Mus musculus: one gene and its partner. The protein of the gene in region 1 binds, or shares a complex with, the protein of each later gene. Links are inferred from orthologs where the notes say so. Each region holds a gene or a part of one and is shown in the gene's direction. Other genes may lie near its edges.

Region 1 (3,937 bases):
CGTTGGAATTAAATGCCTGGTTCCTCACCTCCCCCAGTACCCCCCCCCCGAAGTATGACAAATTTAAAATTAACAGGTGTTGAGCAGCTCTCAGAAGTACATGTGGTTTTCATTACCTGTTTCCCTTCCGTTTCATGTCTGGATTTTTAAGGTTACAACACTACACGAAGTTATTTCTCCCGAGGCCACTTTCGTATAGTGCACTAAACTCGGAGCCCGCCCTCCATCTGTCCAGTTGTAGGGGTCACCGAAGGACGGAGGACCGCAGCCTTTATACTTGACTTCCTTCGTTTCTTGGTTTGACTTAAAACTCCAGGTGACCTTGGTGCTTCCCTTCCTCCCCCGTGAGGCGTTCCTGTTTTCCATCACCTGAGATGCAAAGGCGGGGTCGCTCCGTCCCCTCGGAACGCCAAGGGGAAGATGCTGGGCGACGGTTCCGCATCCTGCTGTTCAGACACAGGCTGGCCACCTCCAGCCCCCCCCGCCCCCCCCCCGCCTCTAGGAAGGCGACAAAAGCGGTGCTTCCTCTTGAGTTCCAGCCCCGCACGGATGCAGACCCGAGGTGTCAGCGTCGCGCAGGCCTTGCAGACTTGCGTCCTCTGCAGAGGTGGCAGCTCCCAGACGTGACCTTAGGTCCCCGCAGCACGCGGGTCACATGGGGACACGCACTGCCCTGCAGACCCGCGCCTGGGGCCTCTGCAGCGGAGAAGGCTGTGCGGAGCTCCTCCGAGCTCCTCGAGGCACGAGTCTAAACGCAGGGAACCGCTGCCTTCCTCAGATTACCTATGGCCGCTCCAATCCTCTGGTTTCTAAACGCAGGAGGCCCTCATCCGGGGGAGGGTCTTTCCATTCCGCAACCCCAAAGCAGTCAGAAGATAGAGTCGGTGTTCCAGGACTTGAAGGGTGCGCTTCCGTTAGGAAGCCCATCCCTCCAGTCCCGAGTGGGCGTGGCCTTCAGATAGCGTCCGTTGCCACGCCCAACTGCCTCCCAACGGCCCTCTGTGTCGGACCTCGGAACCAGGCGGCAGGACCTGCTAATTGCGCCTGCGCGCGCGTGCGCACAATCAATAGGAGGGGCTCACGAGCCGGACCCTCCCAAACCCGGCGTCTCCACCCGCCCCATCTCCCAACCTCCTCAGCGTGGCGCCGACGCTGCGTGCGGCGCGGGTTACCCAGAGTGCTCAGCGCGGGGGGCAGCTCACTGGAGTTTGGTTCTCGAGGCGGCGGCGGCGGTGGTGGCGGAGGCTCCTCCGTCGGCTCCTCCTCCTCGCTCGGCGGTGGCGGCGGTGGTCCGGGGCCTGAGCTCCGGTCCCCTCCGCTTCCCTCCGTCCTCGCCATCTCCCCGAGCGCCTTGACCTCCTCCGGCGCCGCGGGGAACATGCGGCTCCGTTCCCGGAGGCCGGCGAGTGACTGACCCGCGTTCCCCCTCCTCAGCCTGCCCGCCCGCCGGCCCGGCCGCTCCCCCCCGCTTCGCCCAGGCAATGACAGCGGCTCCGGCGTCTCCGCAGCAGATGAGGGACCGGCTGCTACAGGCCATCGACTCCCAGAGCAACGTAAGTGACTGCCTCGCGATCGGGGACCGAGGCCGCATGTGTCGAGACCCTCCCCCTCCGACGCGCCCCCGGCTAGGGGCTCTCTCCAGGCGGTGATCTGCCCGCCACAGCCACTGCCATCTCGGTCTCTCTTTCTCCTGGGTCCGGGGACCGCAGGCAAGGCGGATTGCCCGGCAGCTGAGGGTACCTGAGGCCGAGGCTTCACGCGGCCTGGACTGAGGGAGCGTTTGGAGCTTTGATCAGAGCTAGTTCTTCTCCGTTGTCCCAGCCCGACCGCCCTTGGTGGTCCCCACCGTGCCTCCTTGCCTCACCTCAACCCTGGGAACTGAGAACCCCCCGGGAAGGTCTCCCTGCCGGGGGCAAGGTGGGAAGCAACTAGTGTCTCCGCGATGACTAGAGTAGCCCGCGTCTCCGGAGTCTTGGCCTTTACTCCCCTTCGGTCTCCTGGCTGAACCTCCTTCTTGGCTAGGAGGGAACCCTAGGCCCGTTCTGCCCCCAGTCTGTCTACCTGTGATGCCTGGAGAGTCTCCTCTTTTTTCTGATAGTGGACAAACCTTTCCTGGGGTCTTTCTAGAAAAGACGACCCTGCAGAGAGTGGGATCCTTCCTGTCATCTTTCTTGGCCTAAATGCTCCATTGCGCATCTGACCAGAAGCTAAAGCATGGGATTTTGGTACTGAGTTACTGCCCGTCATAGTTGATTGTTCTCTTATTCCTACCTTCCGGTCCTCTTTCCATCTCTCTCTTGCCCCTCCTGAGGTGCTTTGGGCCCTAGCCTGTCAAGATTTAATTGTAAGGGGTTACTTTATGTCACACTTTCCTCTGCTAAGAGTCCTGTGAGCAGAGGGACATCTTTTTCTTCCTGTGTGAGCATAGACTAATTTCACCTGTTCTTGTATTTTTCCCAAAGGTTTGTTGGCAGTGTAGGGGGCGGGTATCCTTGTTGCTGTTAGGAGCAGGGCCATGGGAAGATGCACAGGCATTCAGATATGAGGTGTTTGCTGGGAGACCAGGAAGTGGCCTTTGAGATCACTTTTTAATATGCTCGGGATGGAAGAAAAATCATCTTGGGCTTGGACAGGTAACCGAGGTTTGAGTCTTTTGAGTTCCCTTGACTATGCTTGACCAGTTACTCTTAGCAATGTACAATGTACACTGTATTGTGGTGTGTTCAGAATAATTCACATTGTTTGTGTGGTCTTGGTAGAAATAGAGGTGCTCTAGTTTCTATGAGATCTGCTTGCTGGATCCAAAATTATTTTCTTCTTGGTCTTTAAGATCACCTTGATAGTAATTTAGTAAATACTGTAGACATTTTCTCGAGGTAGAATAGGGACAGGCTAGATAAAAATCTTCTAGAAAGCCTTTTTAAATTTTTTTCTTTTTTCTTTTTTTGGTTTAAGGTTTTGTTGGGTTTTTTGTTGTTGTTTTGTTTGCCAGTGATTGGTATTACTGACTGTAATCACATGATTGATATATTAGGATATTAAAAGGTAAAAACAAGAGATAGGAAAACATAGCCTTGATGGCTTTTGCATCTTTGCTGAAGCCATAGTGTACACAGTATAATTTTTTGATGTTGTTTTTCAAGAAGGATTCCTCTTCTATGTAGCTTTGACTATCCTTGAACTTGCTCTTTAGACTAGGTTGGCCTCAGAGATTCTCCTGCCTCTTCTTCCAGATTAAACGATTGCACCACCACTGCTCATCTCTTCCACAGTGGAAATTTTAACTCCTGTGTAACTCCTTTGCTTGAGATCTTATCAGAGATCCTGACTGCTTGTATGTGAGAGTGTTGGGACCAGCAAGCGCTTTGACAGGTAATCATGATGCTATAGATCAGGTGGGTCCAAGTGTTAGGTAAGGTCTGACTAGAAGACCCTTTGTGGGTAAAAGAAGGAAGGTAGACAGCCCAAATTTTAGGTTTTTGTTTTGTTTTTTTCTGAGACAGTCACTGGAAGTCACTATGTATGTAAACCAGTGTAGTCTCACAGAGAATCTGTCTGCTTCTACCTCCCAAATGCTGGAATTAAAGGTATATGCCACCATGCCTGGCCCAAACATTAGTTTCTTGAATTTTCCCTTGGTCATAAGTATTACTATGCTCTTTGGCCTGTGGGTAAGTTGCTTGGAGTGTATATCTCAAAGGGAGACCTTATTGTGGTGGATGGAGTTGAGAACTTGTCTCTGAGTGAGGAGGGAAGTGTTTCCCAAAATGCACTGTCAGTGACCACCCACAAAAACAACTAGGTATATGTGCCAGGGGCTGGCTTTGCAGAATCTCTTTGTAGAATCAGCCTGGAGCACTGTCCTCCATTTCTTGCTGTGGTATTGAAGGGTCCCTGGACATTTGCACTGTTTCCGTGATTGCTCAGGGCCCAGGTA
Region 2 (4,274 bases), on another chromosome or scaffold:
ATCCCACCCATTTGTGGAAGGAGGTTAAATGCCCCACTAAATGTGACACTTCACTTACGCCTCTGCAACACCTATTATAATCCAATGTTCATTTAGTCCCCACAGCTAAGGAGTCTCTGTTTTACCCTCTGCATCCACCCTAACCCTCAGCACAATTCTGGTTGCAGAACAGCACTTGCTTCTTCCTCTCTTTTGGGAGCCTAGCCTCTCTAAACATCACCCTTTCTTCTTGGTATTCTGTTTCTACCCTATTCACTCATAGGGTTTTCATGTGTGTAGTTTATCACATCCTCCCCATACACGGGTGTGTGTACTCATACATTATACATATATAAGATCACACCCGTGTCAGAGTGCACGTGTGCAGGTCAGAGGACAACTTGTAGCTGTAGAGCGAGCTCACCTACCTGGGAGTTCTAGCCCCAATACTAGCTGCACAACTATGCTTCTTTTAATAGTGGCACCTCAGTTTCCTGAAAAGAGGGATGATAATGGTGTTTGCCTTATAGGGTTGAAAGAACTGGTAACAGTAAAGAGCTCAGAATTGTGGCTGGCATACAGTAAGAATTCGACAAGTAGCCATTGCTATTTGTATCGTTACGCACATGCATCAACCTTCCCTCCTACAAGGCTATCCCTCTGGGGTCCTGGACACGCTAGCCAAATTTGGTACCTCCTCGGATCCGCTCGTTCAGTTGGAAGGAGTAGTCCTAAGGTATCTTTGCATGGCATGACACCTCACCTGCTCTGACTTCAGTTGTCTGCTCTGTACATGACAATAAATACTGCCAGATTCCCTGCTGGAGTCTGAATGTCAAAACATACATATAGGGTTCTTTGCATCTAGGGGGTGGGGGGTGGGGTGGGGGGGCGGGTGCCTCGTCTGCCTTTTCTGCCTTAACTTGTGATCCCCAAGCCACATCACAGAACAAATACTTTTATAAAGAAGGAAGCAGGGTCTGTCCTAAGTTAAGACTGGCCAGAGGGTTGTAGGGCTTTGCCAAGAGCACGAACGCTAGAGCGAAATCAACTCATGCTATTGATTGCATTCCAATAGATGAGATACAAAAAACCCCGCAAAGTCGGTCAGCTTCGGCGTGGCACAATGAAAATCCCAACTAATAACCAAAACACGAGTTTTTATCAGCATCACTATCGCTAACAAGTCTGTGGATGGGCGACGAAGATCAGGATGGCATCTGAGTAAACAAAACAGCAACGGCCTCCTTGAGGCTCCGGAGGGTGAAGGCTGCCACACGCCCGCCCTCGGGCCTCGGCCCCGCGCCCGCCCATCCCTCACCTCTGGCTCGGGGCGCTCCGAGGCCATCACACAGCCCTCCCGCGCCGGCCCGGGCCAGGGAGGTTGCTCCACTCCTGACCTCTGACCCGGCTAGTTCTGTACCGGGCAGGAACCGGAAGTTGTTGGGATGGTCCCGTTTTGAGTTTTCTGATTGGTGAGCGCAGCAAGCCGTGCGAGAAACCGGAAAGGGAAGTGGTTGCGCCCGCCGGGCCGCGGCAATGCAGGTGAGAAGCGGGTTGGGCCTTATAGCCGCTGGCGGGAGGGTGATTGGGCTGAGGACACCGGGGAGTTGGGGCTGTGAGCGGAGGGCAGAGGAAAGGCAGCGGAGCCAGAGAGAGCGAGGCCAGCTGCGGGAGGCGCGGGCATCGAGCCCGCTGATGTGAGAAGGTCGGAGGCCCGGGGAGGAAAGGCGGACTTGATTGAGCGTGGAAAAGGATCGTGGTGGCATTTGGGAAGGCTCGGGAAAGTAGTGGGCTGCCGCACGCCTCGATCTAGGCTGTTGGACACAGGCGTCATAAGGCTTCAGAAGGCTAAAGGGATCGTGGGCCTCCAAGGATGAAAACTAAGCTGTTTGTAATTCGAGGCTGTGGGTGGAACCCGGTGTCCAACCCCCTCAGTCACATAGTCAGGTTTGCAAATCAGCTTTGCATCATTCTTCCCGGCTTGTACCTCGTTGCTAAGGGCGGAGAAGTGGGGTAAATAGTCCTCAGATAGTCAAACGGAAACCCTCTGCCGCCTCAGCGTTTAAAATTGTCTAACACTCAGAAACAATGTGCAGGTTTCCTCGCCTTTGTCTTTCATTACTCTTTCATTACTCACTTGGCTTGTTGCATCTGATAAACCTACACTGTTTATGGGTCACCCGAATTATGAAAGAGACACGGGAATATTGGCACAAAGATGCACGTTGACTTTCCAAAGCACCAAATGCTATGGATAAACGGCCAGTTGGGGGACCGGGAAGGGGATTGCAGAGCTGGTATTCAGAGAAAACCTTACAGAGAGGCAACGTGTGAGATTGTCCAGATTGTGTGGTTGACAGTAGCTACACTCACAAGAGGATGACCAGAGGCACCCATGATATAATGAACTTCGGGAATTATTTAGGCTGTGTGTGCAGATAGCACCCCTGTTATCATGGCAAACCTTTCTGAGGTGAACTGAACTTCCTGAAAAAAACAAAACAAAACTGTGTCAATGCCAACACCACAGAGTGACACGAGGGATTCTCATCCACCCAAGGAAAGCAGCGCAGTGACAATAAGCAGTCGTGAGGTAGGCAGGCCACATCTATTTTCCAGAAGAGGAACTGACAAAGAAGAGTGTGCAGAAACCTGAGCACGTTCCTATTAACCCTACTGCAAATCTAAGAGAATGTTGTCTACTGGGAGAGGCAGTGTTTGAGAGCTGGGAGGAGGAGAGCATGGAATTAAAAAGGTGCAAGGCTAAGTGAGTTCGAAGCCAGTTTTGTTACAAAGACAAATCATGAGGTTTCAAGCCAAAGAGAATTAGGTCTGGTGCAATGACCTTCTTGAAGGACCACAGTGTAGGAGGGTTATAGAGGAATCAGTTAGTAGGAGGACTTCAGGCCAGGTGAACAGGTTGAAAGGTCTAAGGGTTGATGCTATCTGTAACCCAAATACCAAGATAGAAAACAATTTAGCTTTTCTGAATGTGTCACGCTCACTTGTATCTGAGTAACCAAACACACTGTTGATGCAGAGGGAGGAGAAGCAGCTTGAGGCATCATTAGATGCCCTGCTGAATCAAGTGGCCGATCTGAAGAATTCACTGGGGAGTTTCATTTACAAGTTGGAAAACGAGTATGACCGGCTGACCTGGTAAGGATTGCCAGGACAAGCTGGGGAGGGATCCATGGGTGGTGGGGCCAAGCCCCCTGGCTGACAGGACATCTCCAGCGATGTACCCATTTATCAACTTGCAAATATCCTTTTTGATTTGGAAAGAACTAGGTTGCCCAACATTGACAAGTTTAGTTTGGCTTAAAGCCTCCATGGCAAGGAAGTAGAAAAATGTCCAGTTTCCCAACCTAGGCTGTTTCTAGGTTTTAATTCTTACGCTTTGGCTTCCTTAGTGAGGAGGCATTTCCTCAGTGGAAGACCATTATAGCTCCATTTATGGTGGCTCTCCTTCCACACATGAGGCTGGATCTGAGATCCAGCCTTCTGGAATGATAGAGTCTGTTACTACATTAGGGAGGAGGCTTTACAGACTTACTACAGTGTAACCACAGCCCCTGTTTCCACTGCTCCCAAACCCAGTCAAACAGTGGGTTGCCTTTTTTCTGTATCTATGTCAAAAATTGAAAGTGTGTTCCTCTTTCCCAATTCCATCTCTACTAGCAAATCTGGTTCTTGCCTATGCCAGACACAGGGCTGCGAGTCTTCGGGGTGAGTCTGAGTGTTGCAGCATTAGGACTTTTAGAGGTTACTTTGTAGGGAGAAGTAACTCTGGTGACTTCTCGCCACCTCCAGGCCCTCTGTCCTGGACAGCTTTGCATTGCTTTCTGGACAGTTGAACACTCTGAACAAGGTCTTAAAGCATGAGAAGACGCCACTGTTCCGAAACCAGGTCATCATCCCTCTGGTGCTGTCCCCAGACCGAGACGAAGACCTCATGGTAAGACACACAGTATCTTGTTGACTGGATCCTCTGTGTGGCCATGAAAGGTGAGGGCTGCCGTCTGGAAGACTTGTTTTTATCCTTCTGGGGTCAGGAGAGTCCCCCTTAAAGAATGAAGTGAAAATCAGGGCCTATCTCACCAAGTCCACGACCTTCCTTTTCCAACATCTATGTCAGGCAAAAAGAAAAAAGTCTGTCCTGCTTGCCTGTGACTTTGCTGCAGTCTTTAAAATGTGGGGTTGAGAATTTAGCTCAGTGGTAGAACAGACACAAAGTCCTGGGTCCCCAGAATAGGGGTGGAGGTAGAGATTCACAAAAGACCAAAACAAAA

Evidence for each region. Proteins that work in one complex are often made in the same cells at the same time.
Region 2: Med26 (region 1) and Med8 share a complex: the UniProt entries of both Homo sapiens proteins name them as parts of the mediator complex. The link is inferred for Mus musculus from reciprocal best matches to the Homo sapiens genes MED26 and MED8.

Annotation. Positions count from the first base shown.
Region 1 is NC_000074.6:72,545,511-72,549,447, reverse strand, and holds the start of Med26 (mediator of RNA polymerase II transcription subunit 26), read left to right. Parts: upstream 1-1,137; 5' UTR 1,138-1,481; coding exon 1,482-1,553; intron 1,554-3,233; exon of another isoform or gene 3,234-3,372; intron 3,373-3,937. UniProt on the Homo sapiens protein: Component of the Mediator complex, a coactivator involved in the regulated transcription of nearly all RNA polymerase II-dependent genes.
Region 2 is NC_000070.6:118,407,863-118,412,136, forward strand, and holds the start of Med8 (mediator of RNA polymerase II transcription subunit 8), read left to right. Parts: upstream 1-1,474; 5' UTR 1,475-1,518; coding exon 1,519-1,524; exon of another isoform or gene 1,525-1,687; intron 1,688-3,022; coding exon 3,023-3,141; intron 3,142-3,663; coding exon of another isoform or gene 3,664-3,711; intron 3,712-3,795; coding exon 3,796-3,940; intron 3,941-4,274. Other genes in the region: KICSTOR complex protein SZT2, read right to left, coding at 1,301-1,327. UniProt on the Homo sapiens protein: Component of the Mediator complex, a coactivator involved in the regulated transcription of nearly all RNA polymerase II-dependent genes.